2 linked regions of the Struthio camelus genome follow. The protein of the gene in region 1 interacts with the protein of each later gene in a pairwise test. Links are inferred from orthologs where the notes say so. Each region holds a gene or a part of one and is shown in the gene's direction. Other genes may lie near its edges.

Region 1 (6,964 bases):
TGTAATTCCCCTTTGTGTACATGGGAATCAAGCATATGCTTTAAGCAGAACCTATATGACATGTGGGAATGCATACCATTTAAGAACCAGACTGGGGGGAGAAAACGCACGTTAACATTGCTTTCAACATTTTTAAATTAACTTAATCACAAGTTGGGAAATTTTCTGAAAGTTGTTTTTAAGATGAACTTTTTTTTTCAGATGAGAAAGAATTAAAAGGTATGTTATTTTTTCCAGCGTATCTAGTACTTCCCTTATCTCTTCGTTTTCTTAGTGGCATAGAATTACAACCCCACATAAATGAATGGAGTTTATTATAACATCATCTCCTTTAAAAAGCAGTTTTGAGAAGCAGGAATAACAATTTTCAAAATAAATGAGTTTAGATTTAGGAATATTTTCTCTCCAATGCGCTGACATGGAGATACGAAGTATCTTCACTGTCAGTCTCTGAGCTGGACAATGCTGTCTTCCAGAATTTAGAAGGATGTTCCAGACCCTCCTTCTCACACTGGCCTAAGGCAGCCTGTATTAATTCATATGCTAGACAGAGCTGCTGGCGAAAAAAAAAGAAAGAAAGACAGAAGTATCTAGACAAAGGATAAGGTATTTGTGCAGAACGGGGAAGGAGTCCCACCTCAGAGGTGGCAATCGTGGCCTAGCCACTGTGAGGTGCAAATGTATTAGCATTTCTCAGATGTGTAAGGCTGCAACCTGTGGCAGAGACGGCGGCTGCATTGCCTTCCATGAGCAACCGACCGCTCCTCCGGGCGCGTGGTAAAGCACAGGTAGCATTACATATGAAACAGAAAATGGGGAGTCATAAAAAAAGAAAGGTAAAGATAAACAGGAAAGATAAATACAAATTTTCAACCTCTTGTACAAGTTATGAGTATCAAGATGAACTGACTGCCACTATGCAATCATGGAGTAAATCTGTCACACAACCTTTAGCTTTGTTGTTTGACTGTAACCCTATTCTAGGCAGGAGTACACAGCTGACTGCTTCTTTAACAAAGATGAAGAGAGAGCTTTCCACTGCCTAACCATTTTCTCCTTTATTTTTACTATCCAGTTATAGCCTTAGGCTGAGAGAAATATTCATGCTGTTCTCTCCAGTGTATATATTTTCTAAGGACTGCACCACTCTTATGCATATGCAAAAGTGTATACTTTGCATATTTACTTTCTTTATACAAAATACTGTGCCCTCTACATCATGTATTGCTTTCACTTCTGTGCAGATTCCCCCAAATTTATCATCTTCTCACATTCAGAATTTAATTCTGATTCAGATCTTTTAAGTAACAGTTATTCTAGAGATAACAGTTAATTATGATATTTCAAAATGTGTACATTAATATTTCAGTAGGCTCAACATTTTGAAATACTAGTCAAAGCAGCATGTTAGTCTTTTTGCTGGCGAAACAGAAGGATACTTTCAGTAGACAGGCTGTTAAAATACCTTTCAAAATACCATTCCAAACCCTTTTTACAGTATCTTTTCTTTGTCATAAGCCACAGTTTGGAAAACCATCTTTAATGGCTCATTCCTTAAAATAATTAAATATATTTAACAACAATAAGCTTCAGGGTCCTTAAATTAGTCCTTTGCATGAAGACAATGTGTTCATTTAAATCCCTCTTTAAAACATTCTTCTTCTATAAATCCTATTAGCAGTAATCTGCTACAGCTAGGTGCGCTTTTTAATTTTTTCAGACACCTAGAAAGCTTTGAGATCGACTGATCATTTGGTGTCTTATGTTTCTGAACCCTTTCAGAGATCTAATTTAGATTGTGTACTCTTTGTAGTCATGTCATCTTCCTCTGTGCATCCTCAGCACAACAGCGCAGCAGAAAAAAACAATGAAGCAGAAGATTTCTATACAGCCAAGTTAGCAGGGAGGGGCAAGATGGGACAAAACTGAAATTGGAAACTAACTGTATATTACAAATGTAAACTAGAGCAGGGATAATTCAGCTTTCCATTACTGCTACCCGCAGTGCGTTTTGCTCCGGGAACCACAGAGACTTATTTCTGAAAATCCTTGAGCAACCACTCCCATTCAAATTCAGAGTTCGCACTCGCAGGCTCCAGCCTTAAGGGAGGCTCGAGCAAGGCCTCAGCCCGCAGCGATGCAGCCTTCATCTGCATGAAGTGGGAGCACAGCACAATCTTAATTTCTATTCCTGGGACCCCAAATATTTTCTCAGGCTAAAAAAAGCGTTGTCCGATTATTGCTCAGAAAGGGAGATTAACACTTCTCAGAATCAGAGTCAAACGTGTGCAGCAAAAGACTTGAAAGGAAAGGGGCTTTCTGCTCTTCCCTGAGGGGCATGCAAAGTCTTCCTCGGAGGAAACAAGGGACCGCATTTTTCTTTCAGTTTTATCTAACAGGCACGTGAAAGGCAACTAGGACATCTGAAACCATCAATTAAACGTTGCAGGAATAAGTAAAAGTTAAAAAGAGGAAGAGGGAATTATTCAAAGGCTTATAAACTGTTAAGGAACACAAAAAAACCTCAGAAGAAGTAAGGTTTTTTTTTACATGTATACCGGAATGTTTCAGCACTAAACATCTGTGCGCTGAGTTCTGCCCACTATTTTTCCCTTGGTCAGCGAAAATAAGACAGTGCTCTTGGGGACTGCTGAATTTACTCCGCGTTTAGAAAAAGTGGCATTGCATATTATTGCCTCCAAAGCCAGGAAAAATGACCTGAAGAAAGACTAAACCAGCCCTGGCAAGGCACAAGCCTCTTCTCCAGAGCAGGCATGTGTGGAAGCTGGTTAATTGTTTGCAAGTTTCAGGCTGTTTCAAAGTGACTTCCTCTTGCAACATTGATTTTCTTTTCTAAACTCTCCAGTTCCCTCCACAAGGACAAACGTTTCCCTTCCCCTAGAGGGGACCCTGCCAGAGGATTGCCTGTGAGAAGAGGAAGCCCAGTTCCTGGAGGCAGGGCAGAAACTGTCCCCTACACCACAACTTGCTGCGACTGGCAGCCACACGAAGAGGGTTGATCCTTTCCACGACAGATTTCATTCTCAAAGACTGCTTTTTTTTCCTCCCCCCCTCTCTTTTTGGTCTTCTTTAACCATTTGTGGGAAAATCCTTCTTTGGCCACTCGTGGAAAATTCTTCCGGCGCTGCCCGCGCCATCCCCACTGCACGCGGTGGCGTTTCAAGAGAAAAACCAAGCGGCTGCAGAAGTCGGCAGGCAGCAGGAGCGCCCTTGTCCGCAGAGCACCTCCAGCTCCCGCCGGGCAGGCAAGCGAGCCCCGCGGATTAAAGCGGGAGGGAAGGCTGGGAAGTTTACAGCGGGGCAGAAAGAGGTTAAGAAAAATAAAAATAAAAATCAGCGGCAGCAGGAGAGGGGCCGCGAGGCGCACGGCAACACCGGCGGCGGAGGCCGCGCACCGCTCCGCGCCCCGCTCCGCGCCCCGCGGCGGGCCCCGCGGTGACGTCACGGCCCTCGGCCAATGGGCGGCGGGGGCGCCCTGATGCCAAGGCGGAAAGTTCCCCGCGGGTCGCCGGTTCGGTACCCCGGTCCGGCGAGCGCGGCCCCGGCGGCTCCTTCCCGGCGCTGCCCTCTGCCCCCCCCCCCCCGTTTCCTTTAAGCCTCCCGCCGGTACTTTCCCCAGCGCTTCCGCTGCCTGCCGAGGGGGATTTTCACTGGGGATGCCGGGTTTCCTGAGGTGTCGGGAAATGGGGGAGGGGATGGTGGGTTTGGGGGATACGAGGGGAGACCGTTTCCGCGGCGGGCGCAGGGCCCCGCCCAGCGGGAAGCCCCCGGCCCGCAGCAGCAGCGGCGGCGGCGGGGAGGCGCGGGAGGGCCGGGGCGGGCGGCGGCAGCGCTCCCGGGGTGCGAGGCAAGAGTTCAGGGAGCTCCTCCCGCGCCATCCCGGCAGCGGCAGCGGCAGGAAGGGCAGGGCGGGGGCGGGGGCTGTGTCGGGGGGGGGGGGCGGCGGGGGAGGGGCCGATGCTGCCGCCGCCGCCGCTGCCGCCGGGCGCAGCAGGCTGAGGGAAGGCAGGAGCGGAGCCGCCGCTGAGGGCCGGGGCCTTGGACGCGTCCGGCGCGGAGCGGCGCTGCGCGGTGGAGGAAGAGGAAGGGGAAAAGGGGGGGGGGAGGGAAGCCGGCCCCTCTCGGAGGACGCAGCCCGCATCCGCCCGCGGAAGGGAAGAGGGAAGGAAAGGGGTGAGCGAGCGGGCAGGCAGGCAGGCAGGCATCGCCGCCGCCGCCGAGACAAAGAAGCGGAGCCCGCCTGGGCTGGGAGCCTCCCCGCCGCTGCCATTACTAAGCGCCCCGCTGCCCGCCCGCCGGCCGAGGTAAGCGCGGCCGCGGGCAGGGCAGGGCGCGACGGGACCCGCCGCAAAGTTGTGGTGGCCGCCGCGGGCCGTTGGGGCGGCCGGAGCGGGGGGGGGGGGGGGGGCGGGGGTGGAGGAGGGGGGTGGGAGCGGCCGTTGGCAGGGCGAGGTGGGGCGGGGGGGGAGGGAGCTCGCGGCCCCCCCCCTCCTCCTCCCGGGGTGTGTGTGTGTGTGGGGGGGATTTACCTGCCGCGGGGGGGGGGGCGGGGGGGCGTTTTCTGTGCCACGTCCAGCCGCGGGCGTTGTGTGTGTGTGGGGGGGGGAAATGGAGGAGCAGAGGCGGCTCCTCCTCCTCCTCCTCATCCTCGCCGAGTTGGCCTGTGTGTGTTTGTGTGTGACAGCCGCCGCTTTGTGTCACCCGCCGTCCTGGCTGAGGGCCGGGGCGCCCCCCTCTGCGGGGGGGAAGGGGGTGTCAGGGCCGCCCCCGCGGGGCTCCGCTCCGGCCCGGCCCGGCCCGGCCCGGGGTGGCTGCTACCCGAGGGCAAAGATTAGGGAGATAAATAAAAATACTCGCCTAGAGATTGGCACGGAATAACCTCCGCCGACAAATAAAGTTGGCTTCGCCCGTGAGCTCGCGTTGGGCATGGGTAAATCTAGGGGAAATGCCCTTTTCTTTTTTTCCTCCTTCCTTTTTATTTTCTTTTGTTTTATTTTTTTTCCTTTTTCATTACGCGAGCCCTCTTGGGAGGAGGGCAGCCGGGTAGCACCGGCACCACCGTCAAAAGCGTTTAAAAAAAAAAAAAAAAGTTTTCTGGAGAATTATCCCTGGTATTCAGGGCATGGACAAAAGTGCTCTGTGTCCAAAAGCTGCTGCGGCGGCGGCTCGGTCCGGGGGAGTGGGCCGTATAAGTGCTTTAAAAGCGGTAGGTCGTTTCCATTAGTTAAATAAGGGAAACCCAGCGCCTGACACTGTTCGGAACAAAATACTGGAAACAAACGAGCTTTACCCCCTGCAGGGTGGGAATATTCTGGTAACTGTACCGCTATACTGTCGTTGCTTTCTCCCCCTGCCCCCCATTCCACTGGTTACTTTCAGCTTTAATAGATCTAAGCCTTCCCTTTCTCCCCCTCCGCTTTTTTTCTGAGGGATAGAGTGAACATTGGTATAATACGCCACATCAGTCGACACTGATGTTAACGTAGGTAAACGACAAAAAGCTGCAGCAGCACAACATAGGTAAATTACACCGTTTGTTCAAAACGTACCACCTCTCTGGGGCTATTGAGAGGAAAAATATTTGCGTTTATAAATCTTTTTACCCTGTTTTTAATTGACAGTGTGACCACACAAACAGCTACCTTTGCTGGCAGGTTGGGTACAGTGGCCCACCTCAGTTAAAGTTGTCAGATGAGGATTTGGCCTTGTAATTCAGGTTTGACTTGTGACCCGAATCATGTGTGCCTCTGTACTGTAGTTTGTATGCTAAGATCTCCCACTAGTTTTTTTTTATAGTGCATATGGCCTTCTGTGTTTATTAGAGCTATACTGTGAACCAAAAGTAGTTTAACTCCAAATCGTCCTGTTTGTTTGTTAGGTTAAAACTTGAACGCTAATTAAAGCTCAGCACAGATTTAAAGCATTGCTCCTCTGACTGGATTCAGTTTCTTTTACTTGCTCTGAAGCAACACTTGTTTCTGAGAGCCTACTCTTGTAACTGCTTAATGTAGGAGAATTAGAGGTCTCTTTCATGAAACATGGTAATGCCCTTATAAAAACAAATCTGCATGGCCTGACCACGCATGGTTTATATCACTGAGAGTTTGGCCTGGTGACTTAATATGGAGGAATTTGAAAGGGCTTACCGGGTGGGAGCTTATTAAGAACTTCTTTTCAAAAGTGCTAGTTCTACCACTGCTTTTTAGGGATCCTAAGCAGGCAGCACCATGTAGATAATGTTAATGCTACTGCGTTTTTGTTTTGAGGATTGTAACTTCTAACGTAAAATGACTTTGCTTCTTAGAAATACTGTTCTTAAAACTCTGGAAATTGAAATCTTCTGTCGGACCCAAGTAATAACATCTTAAGCTTTGTTACCCCAAGGAGAGATTGTTTTGTCTTTATAACTTTGTCTTCTTGAAACTTTGACAGAGGATGTCACTTTTGGGAACTGTGAATAAATGTAGAGATAGAAGGCACTTGTACCAGTCCAGACTGTAATTATCTGTTTCATGGCCTATGTTAAAATATTTTCTGTAGGCTGTAATTGTTCTCTCATTGCAATGTTAGCTGTTACATTGGCTTTTTACCTATAGTAGATGCTATTTCCAGTTGTTGTTATGATACAACGTTATACAAAATCTCCTTTTCTATATGTTTCCAATAATAACAGCAGAACTCTGCATGGTCGCCTGCATTGTGTTCGCACTACCGAATATCTGATTAATTTGAAACTCCAGCCCTTGGCTTGTTACTGCAATGAAAAGGGAACTTACTGTCCGTTTTCCCTCCTCACACTATTTTCTTCTATAGTTTCCTGGCTAGCTGTGTGAGAGTGTAAGGAAAGGTATTTGCTATCTTACGTGTCATCTCACAACTAATGTCTGCTAAAGAGGAGGAACAAGGTCAGCAGTCTCCTTTTTTTCCATCCCTTGTTTTTTTG
Region 2 (7,417 bases), on another chromosome or scaffold:
AGCCCACCCACGGGTGTCCCGCGGTACCCGCGGGCTCCCCTGGCACCCGCCGCCCACCCCCGGCTCACCCCCAGCCCACCCACGGGTGTCCCGCGGTACCCGCGGGCTCCCCTGGCACCCGCCGCCCACCCCCGGCTCACCCCCAGCCCACCCACGGGTGTCCCGCGGTACCCGTGGGCTCCCCTGGCACCCGCCGCCCACCCCCGGCTCACCCCCAGCACCCCCAGTCCACCCCCAGGTGCCCCCTGGGACCCACAAGAGTCCCCTGCCACCCGCCACCCCCCCTCGGGTGCCCCCGGGACCTCCCAGCCCACCCTCAGATGTCCCCTGGAACCCACGGGTTTCCCCCAGGACCCCCAGCCCACCCTCAGACATGGTCTAGCACCCACGGGCAGCCCCAGGACCCCCACCCCACCCATGGGTGCCTCCTGGGACCCCCCCAGCTCACTCATGAGCACCCCCAGGACCCCCAGCCCACCCATGGGTGCCCCTGGGACCCCCCCCAGCCCATCTTTCAGGTACTCCCCAGGACCCCCAGCTCACCCATGGGTGCCCTTGGGACCCCCAGCCCGCCACTGGGACCCCGCCGGGAGCCCCCCGGCCCCCGCGGGAGCCCCCCGGGACCCCCAGCCCGCCGCCGGGACCCCGCCGGGAGCCCCCCGGCCCCCGCGGGAGCCCCCGCCCCACCTGCTGTGCTCCTTCTTGACCCAGAGACCCACGGCGGCCTGGGGCAGGGGCTGCTCCACGAAGAGCATGCGCAGCACCCCGGCCTGCGCCAGCCCCGGCAGCTCCCTGCGCCGCGGGGGGGGGGGGCGTGGGTGGGTGTCGGGGGCGCCCGGGGGGGTCGGGGGCGCCCGGGGGGGGGTCAGGGGACCCCTAAGGGGGAGGTCAGAGCGCCTGGGGGGGGCCCATGGGGTGCTCAGAGTGCTCCTGCGGGGTGTCAGGATGCTCCTGGGGGGGGAGTTGGGGGGCTGGGGGGGGTCAGGGTGCTCCTGGGGGGGGGTCAGGGGGCCCCTAAGGGGGAGGTCGAGGTGCCTGCGGGGGTGGGGGGGGCCTATGGGGGGCTCAGGGTGCTCCTGGGGGGGTCAGGGTGCCCATGGGGTGCTCAGGGTGCTCCTGCGGGGTGTCAGGATGCTCCTGGGGGGGAGTTGGGGGGCTGGGGGGGTCAGGGGGCCCCTAAGGGTGTCGGGGGGCTCCAGGGGAGCAGTCAGGGTGCTCCTGGGGGGCTGAGGGGGCTCTGGGGACTCCGAGGGGGGGGGTCGGGGTGCTCCTGGGGGGGAGTCAGGGGGCTCAAGGGACTCTGGGGGGGGTCAGGGTGCTGCTGGGGGTGTCAGGGTGCCTGGGGGGGAGTGGGGGGCCGGGCGGGGGGGGTTGGGGTGCTCCAGGGGGTGTCAGGGGTGCCCGAGGGGGGTGGGGGGGAGCACCCGAGGGGGTGTCAGGGTGCTCCTGGGGGGAGGTCGGGGTGCCTGAGGGGGAGTGGGGGGGCCTATGGGGGGCTCAGGGGGCTCCTGGGGGGGGTCAGGGGGCTCCGAGGGGATCGGAGGGCCTTGGGGGGGGGGTCAAGGGGTCTGGGATGGGCTTGGGAGGGGGTCAGGGTGTTCCTGGAGGAGGTTGGGGTGCTTCGGGGAGGGTCGGGGTGCTCTGGGGGGGGTCAGGGTGCCCGGGGGGGGGTCAGGGTGCCCCGAGGGGGGGTCGGGGTGCCCCGGGGGGTGCCCGGGGGGGGGTCTCACCGGAAGACGGCCAGGCAGGTGGCCGGGTGGCCGTAGAGGCGGTCGAGCAGGGCCGGGCCGGGGTCGGGGTGCCCCGGGACGGGGTGGGGGTGCTCTGGGGGGGGTCGGGGTGCCCGGGGGGGGGGGTCGGGGTGCCCGGGGGGGGGGTCGGGGTGCCCCGGGGGGTGCCCGGGGGGGGGTCTCACCGGAAGACGGCCAGGCAGGTGGCCGGGTGGCCGTAGAGGCGGTCGAGCAGGGCCGGGCCGGGGTCGGGGTGCCCCGGGACGGGGTGGGGGTGCTCTGGGGGGGGTCAGGGTGCCCGGGGGGGGGGTCGGGGTGCCCGGGGGGGGTGCCCGGGGGGGGTCTCACCGGAAGACGGCCAGGCAGGTGGCCGGGTGGCCGTAGAGGCGGTCGAGCAGGGCCGGGCTGAGCCCCTGCAGGAACTCGGGCAGGTTCTTGCACTGCAGCTGCCCCCGCGGCACCCGGGGGGGCCCCTCCATGGCGGGGGGCGGCGGGGACACGGCCGACGGGCACCCCGCCACCGCCGACGGGGACACGGCCGACGGGGACACCTGGCAGGAGGGGAGAAAGAGCGCGGCGCGGTGAGTCCCGGCGGGAGATGGGGGGGTGACACCGGGTGACCGGGGAGGGGGGACGGGGTGACACCGGGTGACGGGGAGGGGGGATGGGGTGACACTGGGTGACCGGGGAGGGTGACATCAGGTGAGCCGGAGGGCAAACCCAAGGAGGAGATAAGGTGACACCGGATGACCAGGGTGACCGGCGCTGGGTGATGGGAGCACAGGGTGACACTGGGTGACGTAGGGGGGTGGCATCAGGTGACCTGGGGGGGACGGGGTGACACTGGGTGACCGGGAGGGGGAGATGGGGTGGCACCAGGTGAACTGGGGGGGGGAGACCCAAGGAGGACATGAGGTGACCCGGGGTGACCCGGGGGGAGACGAGGTGACACTGGGTGACCGGGAGGGGGACATGGGGTGACACGGGGTGACCGAGGGGGAGATGAGGTGACACTGGGTGACCGGGAGGGGGAGATGGGGTGACACTGGGTGACCGAGGGCGGATGGGGTGACATGGGGTGATCCGGGGGGAGGAACAGGGTGACACTGGGTGACCGGGAGGGAGAGATGGGGTGACACTGGGTGACCGAGGGCAGATGGGGTGACACGGGGTGACCCGGGGGGGGGACGGGGTGACACTGGGTGACCGGGAGGGGGAGATGGGGTGACACTGGGTGACCCGGGGGGGAGACGAGGTGACACTGGGTGACCGGGAGGGGGAGATGGGGTGACACTGGGTGACCCGGGGGGGGGGAACGAGGTGACACCGGGTGATCCGGGGGAGATGGGGTGACACGGGGTGACGGAGGGGGGACGGGGTGACACGGGGTGACACGGGGTGACACGGGGTGACCGGGGTCGGGGACACGGTGGCACCCGGGGTCCCGCCGCCCCCCCCCCATCGCCCCCGTCTCACCGCGCGCCCCGGCTCCCGGCTCGGCCCCGCCCCCTTCCCGCCCTGCCCCGCGCGGGACCACGTGGGGCCGCGCCGGGCCCCGCCCCCTTCTCCTCGCCGGGCCCCGCCCCCGCCGGCACTGCCGCCACCGCCGCGCGCGCCAAGGTGAGAGAGAGCCCGAGCCGGACGCCTGGGCCCCCCGGGGGGGGCGGGGGACACCCGGACACCTGGGCCCCTGGGGGGGGGACACCCGGACACCTGGGCCCCCCCGGGGGGGGCGGGGGACACCCGGACACCTGGGCCCCTGGGGGGGGGCGGGGGACAGCCGGACACCTGGGCCCCTGGGGGGGGGACACCCGGACACCTGGGCCCCTGGGGGGGGGGGTGGACACCCGGACACCTGGGCCCCTGGGGGGGGGGACACCCGGACACCTGGGCCCCTGGGGGGGGGGTGGACAGCCGGACACCTGGGCCCCTGGGGAGGGGGACACCCGGACACCTGGGCCCCTGGGGGGGGTGGACACCCGGACACCTGGGCCCCTGGGGGGGGGGGTGGACACCCGGACACCTGGGCCCCTGGGGGGGGGGTGGACAGCCGGACACCTGGGCCCCTGGCGGGGGGACACCCGGACACCTGGGCCCCTGGGGGGGGTGGACAGCCGGACACCTGGGCCCCTGGGGCGGGGAGGGGACGCCGGGGTCCCTTGGGTGGGGGAGCTGCCCGGACGCCTGGGCCCCCCAGGGGGGAGGGCACAAGGGGGTCCCCGGGGGGGGGGACACCCGGACACCTGGGCCCCTCGTGGGGGGCGGGTCACCGGGGTCTCCAGGAGGGGAGCTGCCCGGACACCTGGGCCCCTTGGGGGGAGGGCACACGGGGGTCCCTGGGGGGGGGGCAACACCCAGACGCCTGGGCCCTCCGGGGGGGAGCACACGGGGGTCCCTGGGGGGAGAGGTGCCCGGACGCCTGGGCCCCCCGGGGGAGGGCACCTGGATGCCTGGGCCCCTCGTGGGGGAGGGCACCCGGGGGTCCCTGGGCGGGGGGAGGTGCCCGGACGCCTGGGCCCCTCGCTGGTGGGGGGGAGGGGGGCACCCACCCGGGCGCCTGGGCCCTCAGCGCCCCGCCGCCCGCCAGGCAGCATGGCGGCCCCGGCGCTGGCGCGGGCTCTGCGGGGCGCCGGCAGCGGAGCGGGCCCCTGGGCGCGGGGGGGGCCCGGGGGGGGCCGGGGCCGCAGCGGGGGGGGGGCCGCCGGGCCCCCCGCCGGCGCCCAGCTCCAGGCCCGGGCCCACAAGGAGCGGCGGCAGCGGCGGCGGCAGCAGCGGGCGCAGCTGGGGGGCGCCGGGGCCCAGGTGCGCCGGGGGGGCCACTGGGGGGCACTGGGGGGCACTGGGAGATGAAGCTGGGGTGGTTGGGGGGCAACTGGAGGCCACTGGGGGCCTGGGAGAGGGACTGGGAGGGGCTCGGGGGGACTGGGGGGCGACTAGGGGGTGGGAGAGGGACTGGGAGGGGACTGGGGGGGCTCAAGGGAACTGGGGGGCGACTGGGGGGTGGGAGAGGGACTGGGGGGGACTGGGGGGGCTCAAGGGAACTGGGGGGCGACTGGGGGGTGGGAGAGGGACTGGGGGGGACTGGGAGAGGTGGAGAGGGGCCGGGGCGGGTCGCGGCGTGTCGCGGCGTGTCGTGGCGTGTCACGGCGTGTCGCGGCGTGTCGCAGCGTGTCGCGGCCCCCAGGCACCGGCTGCCCCCCCCAAGGCCTGGGCCCCCAAGGCGCAGCTGGAGTACGGCGGGTCGCTGGGCCCCGACGGGCGGAAGGGTACGGGGGGGCGGGGGGGACACGGGGCAACAGGTGAGGTGACGGGCAGGGTGACGCGGGGGCCGGCGGGGTGACACAGGTGACAGGTGGGGAGACACAGGGGTCAGGCGGGGTGACAGGCGGGTGATGCGGGGGCCGGCGGGGTGACACGGGTGACAGCGGGGGCTGGCAGGGTGACGCAGGTGCCGGGTGGGTGACACGGGGATCAGGTGGGGTGACGCGGGGGTGACGGGCGGGTGACGCGGGGGCTGGCAGGGTGACAGGCGGGTGACGGGCGGGTGACGCAGGGGCTGGCGGGGTGACAGGCGGGTGACGGGTGGGTGACGCGGGGGCCGGCGGGGTGACGCAGGGTGACGGGCGGGTGACACAGAGGCTGGCAGGGTGACGGGCGGGTGACGCGGGGGCCGGCGGGGTGACGCAGGGTGACGGGCGGGTGACACAGGGGCTGGCAGGGTGACGGGCGGGTGACGCAGGGGCCAGCGGGGTGACGCAGGGTGACGGGCGGGTGACACAGGGGCTGGCAGGGTGACGGGCGGGTGACGCGGGGGCCGGCGGGGTGACGCAGGGTGACGAGCGGGTGACACAGGGGCTGGCAGGGTGACGGGCGGGTGACGCGGGGGCCGGCGGGGTGACGCCCTGGGCCGCGGCAGGGGTGGAGGAGCCGCTGCCGCCCGCCTACAGCCCCCGCTACGTGGAGGCGGCCTGGTACAGCTGGTGGGAGCGGCGGGGGCTCTTCGCCCCCCGGCCCCCGGTGAGTGCACCGAGCAGCGCCCGGCCTCAGCCCCCATCGCTGCGCCGAGTGCTACCCGGCCTCAGCCCCCATCGCTGCGCCGAGCACTGCCCAGTTTCAGCCCTGTCCCTGCGCTGAGTGCTGCCCGGTCTCAGCCCCCATCGCTGCGCCGAGCGGCGCCCGGTCTCAGCCCCCGTCCCTGTGCTGAGTGCTACCCGGCCTCAGCCCCCATCGCTACACCGAGTGCTGCCCGGCCTCAGCCCTGTCCCTGCGCTGAGTGCTGCCCGGTCTCAGCCCCTGTCCCTGCGCCGAGCACTGCCCAGTCTCAGCCCCCATCGCTGCGCCGAGCGCTGCCTGGCCTCAGCCCCATCCCTGCGCCGAGCACTGCCCAGTCTCAGCCCCCATCGCTGCGCCGAGTGCTGCCTGGCCTCAGCCCCCGTCCCTGCGCCAAGCTGCCTCCAGCCTCGGCCCCATCGCTGCGCCGAACGCTGCCCGGGCCTCAGCCCCGTCCCCACCTCGCGCAGCGTCCTGTCTCGGCCCCCGTCGCTGCGCCGAGCGGCGCCCGGTCTCAGCGCCGACCCCCTCCCCGCACCGTGTCCCGTCTCGGCCCCCGTCGCTGCGCCGAGCGGCGCCCGGTCTCAGCGCCGACCCCTCCCCGCAGGCCGGGGGGGCCGAGCGGCGCCTGAGCCTGGTGCTGCCCCCCCCCAACGTCACGGGCTCCCTGCACCTGGGCCACGCGCTCACCGTCGCCCTGCAGGACGCCCTGGCCCGCTGGTGAGCCCCGCTCCGGGGGGGGGTCCCCAGGGTGCCCTTGGGTGCTGGGGGGGGTGGGGGGGTCCTGTACGTGCTGGGGGGGGTCCCAAGGGTGCTGGGGGGGGTCATGGAAGTGCCTGAGGGCTCCCACGGGTGCCTGGGGGGGATCCCCAGGGTGCCCTTGGGTGCTGTGGAGGGGGTGGGGGGTCCTGTACGTGCTGGGGGGGGTCCCAAGGGTGCTGGGGGGGGTCATGGAAGTGCCTGAGGGCTCCCATGGGTGCCTGGGAGGGTCCCTAGGGTGCCCTTGGGTGCTGGGGGAGGCCGGGGGGTCCTGTAGGTGCTGGGGGGGGGTCCCCAGGGTGCCCTTGGGTGCTGGGGGGGCCGGAGGGTCCTGTAGGTGCTGGGGGGGGTCCCAAGGGTGCTGGGGGGGTCATGGAAGTGCCTGGAGGGTCCCATGGGTGCTGGGGGGGGATCCTGCAGGTGCTGGGGGGGGGTCCCAAAGGTGGAGGGAGGGGGTCATGGAAGTGCCCTGGGGGGGTCTTGGGGGGCTCTGGGTGCTGGGAGGGGTCCCGTGGGGTTGGGGGGTGGTCCCAAGGGTGCTGGGGGGGGACTTGGGGTGCCCCAGGTGCTCAGGGGGTCCCGTGGGGCTGAGGGGGGGTCCCGTGGGTGCTGTGGGGGGTCATATAATTGCCCTTATAAGGGCCCCCCCGGTGGGGGGCCCTGGGTGCTGGGAGGGGTCCCGGGGGGGGTGTCAGGGCACCCTAGGGTGCTGGGGGGGTCCCCGGGGGGGTCTCCGGGTGCGCCTGGATGCTGGGGGGTCCCGGGGGCCGGGGGGGGGACACGCGGGGGGGACACGCGGGGACACGGCGCTGTGGCAGGCGGCGCATGCAGGGCTGGACGGTGCTGTGGGTGCCGGGCACCGACCACGCCGGGATCGC

Evidence for each region.
Region 2: the proteins of NCK2 (region 1) and VARS2 interact in binary tests that used the Homo sapiens proteins (3 or more experiments, as listed by UniProt). The two-hybrid records come from large-scale screens. The link is inferred for Struthio camelus from reciprocal best matches to the Homo sapiens genes NCK2 and VARS2.

Annotation. Positions count from the first base shown.
Region 1 is NC_090942.1:154,295,998-154,302,961, forward strand, and holds the start of NCK2 (cytoplasmic protein NCK2), read left to right. Parts: upstream 1-3,962; 5' UTR 3,963-4,325; intron 4,326-6,964. UniProt on the Homo sapiens protein: Adapter protein which associates with tyrosine-phosphorylated growth factor receptors or their cellular substrates. Maintains low levels of EIF2S1 phosphorylation by promoting its dephosphorylation by PP1.
Region 2 is NC_090977.1:635,635-643,051, forward strand, and holds the start of VARS2 (valine--tRNA ligase, mitochondrial), read left to right. Parts: upstream 1-4,322; coding exon 4,323-4,532; intron 4,533-4,767; coding exon 4,768-4,996; intron 4,997-5,646; coding exon 5,647-5,747; intron 5,748-6,387; coding exon 6,388-6,500; intron 6,501-7,357; coding exon 7,358-7,417. Other genes in the region: GTF2H4 (general transcription factor IIH subunit 4), read right to left, coding at 688-792, 2,079-2,209. UniProt on the Homo sapiens protein: Catalyzes the attachment of valine to tRNA(Val) in a two-step reaction: valine is first activated by ATP to form Val-AMP and then transferred to the acceptor end of tRNA(Val).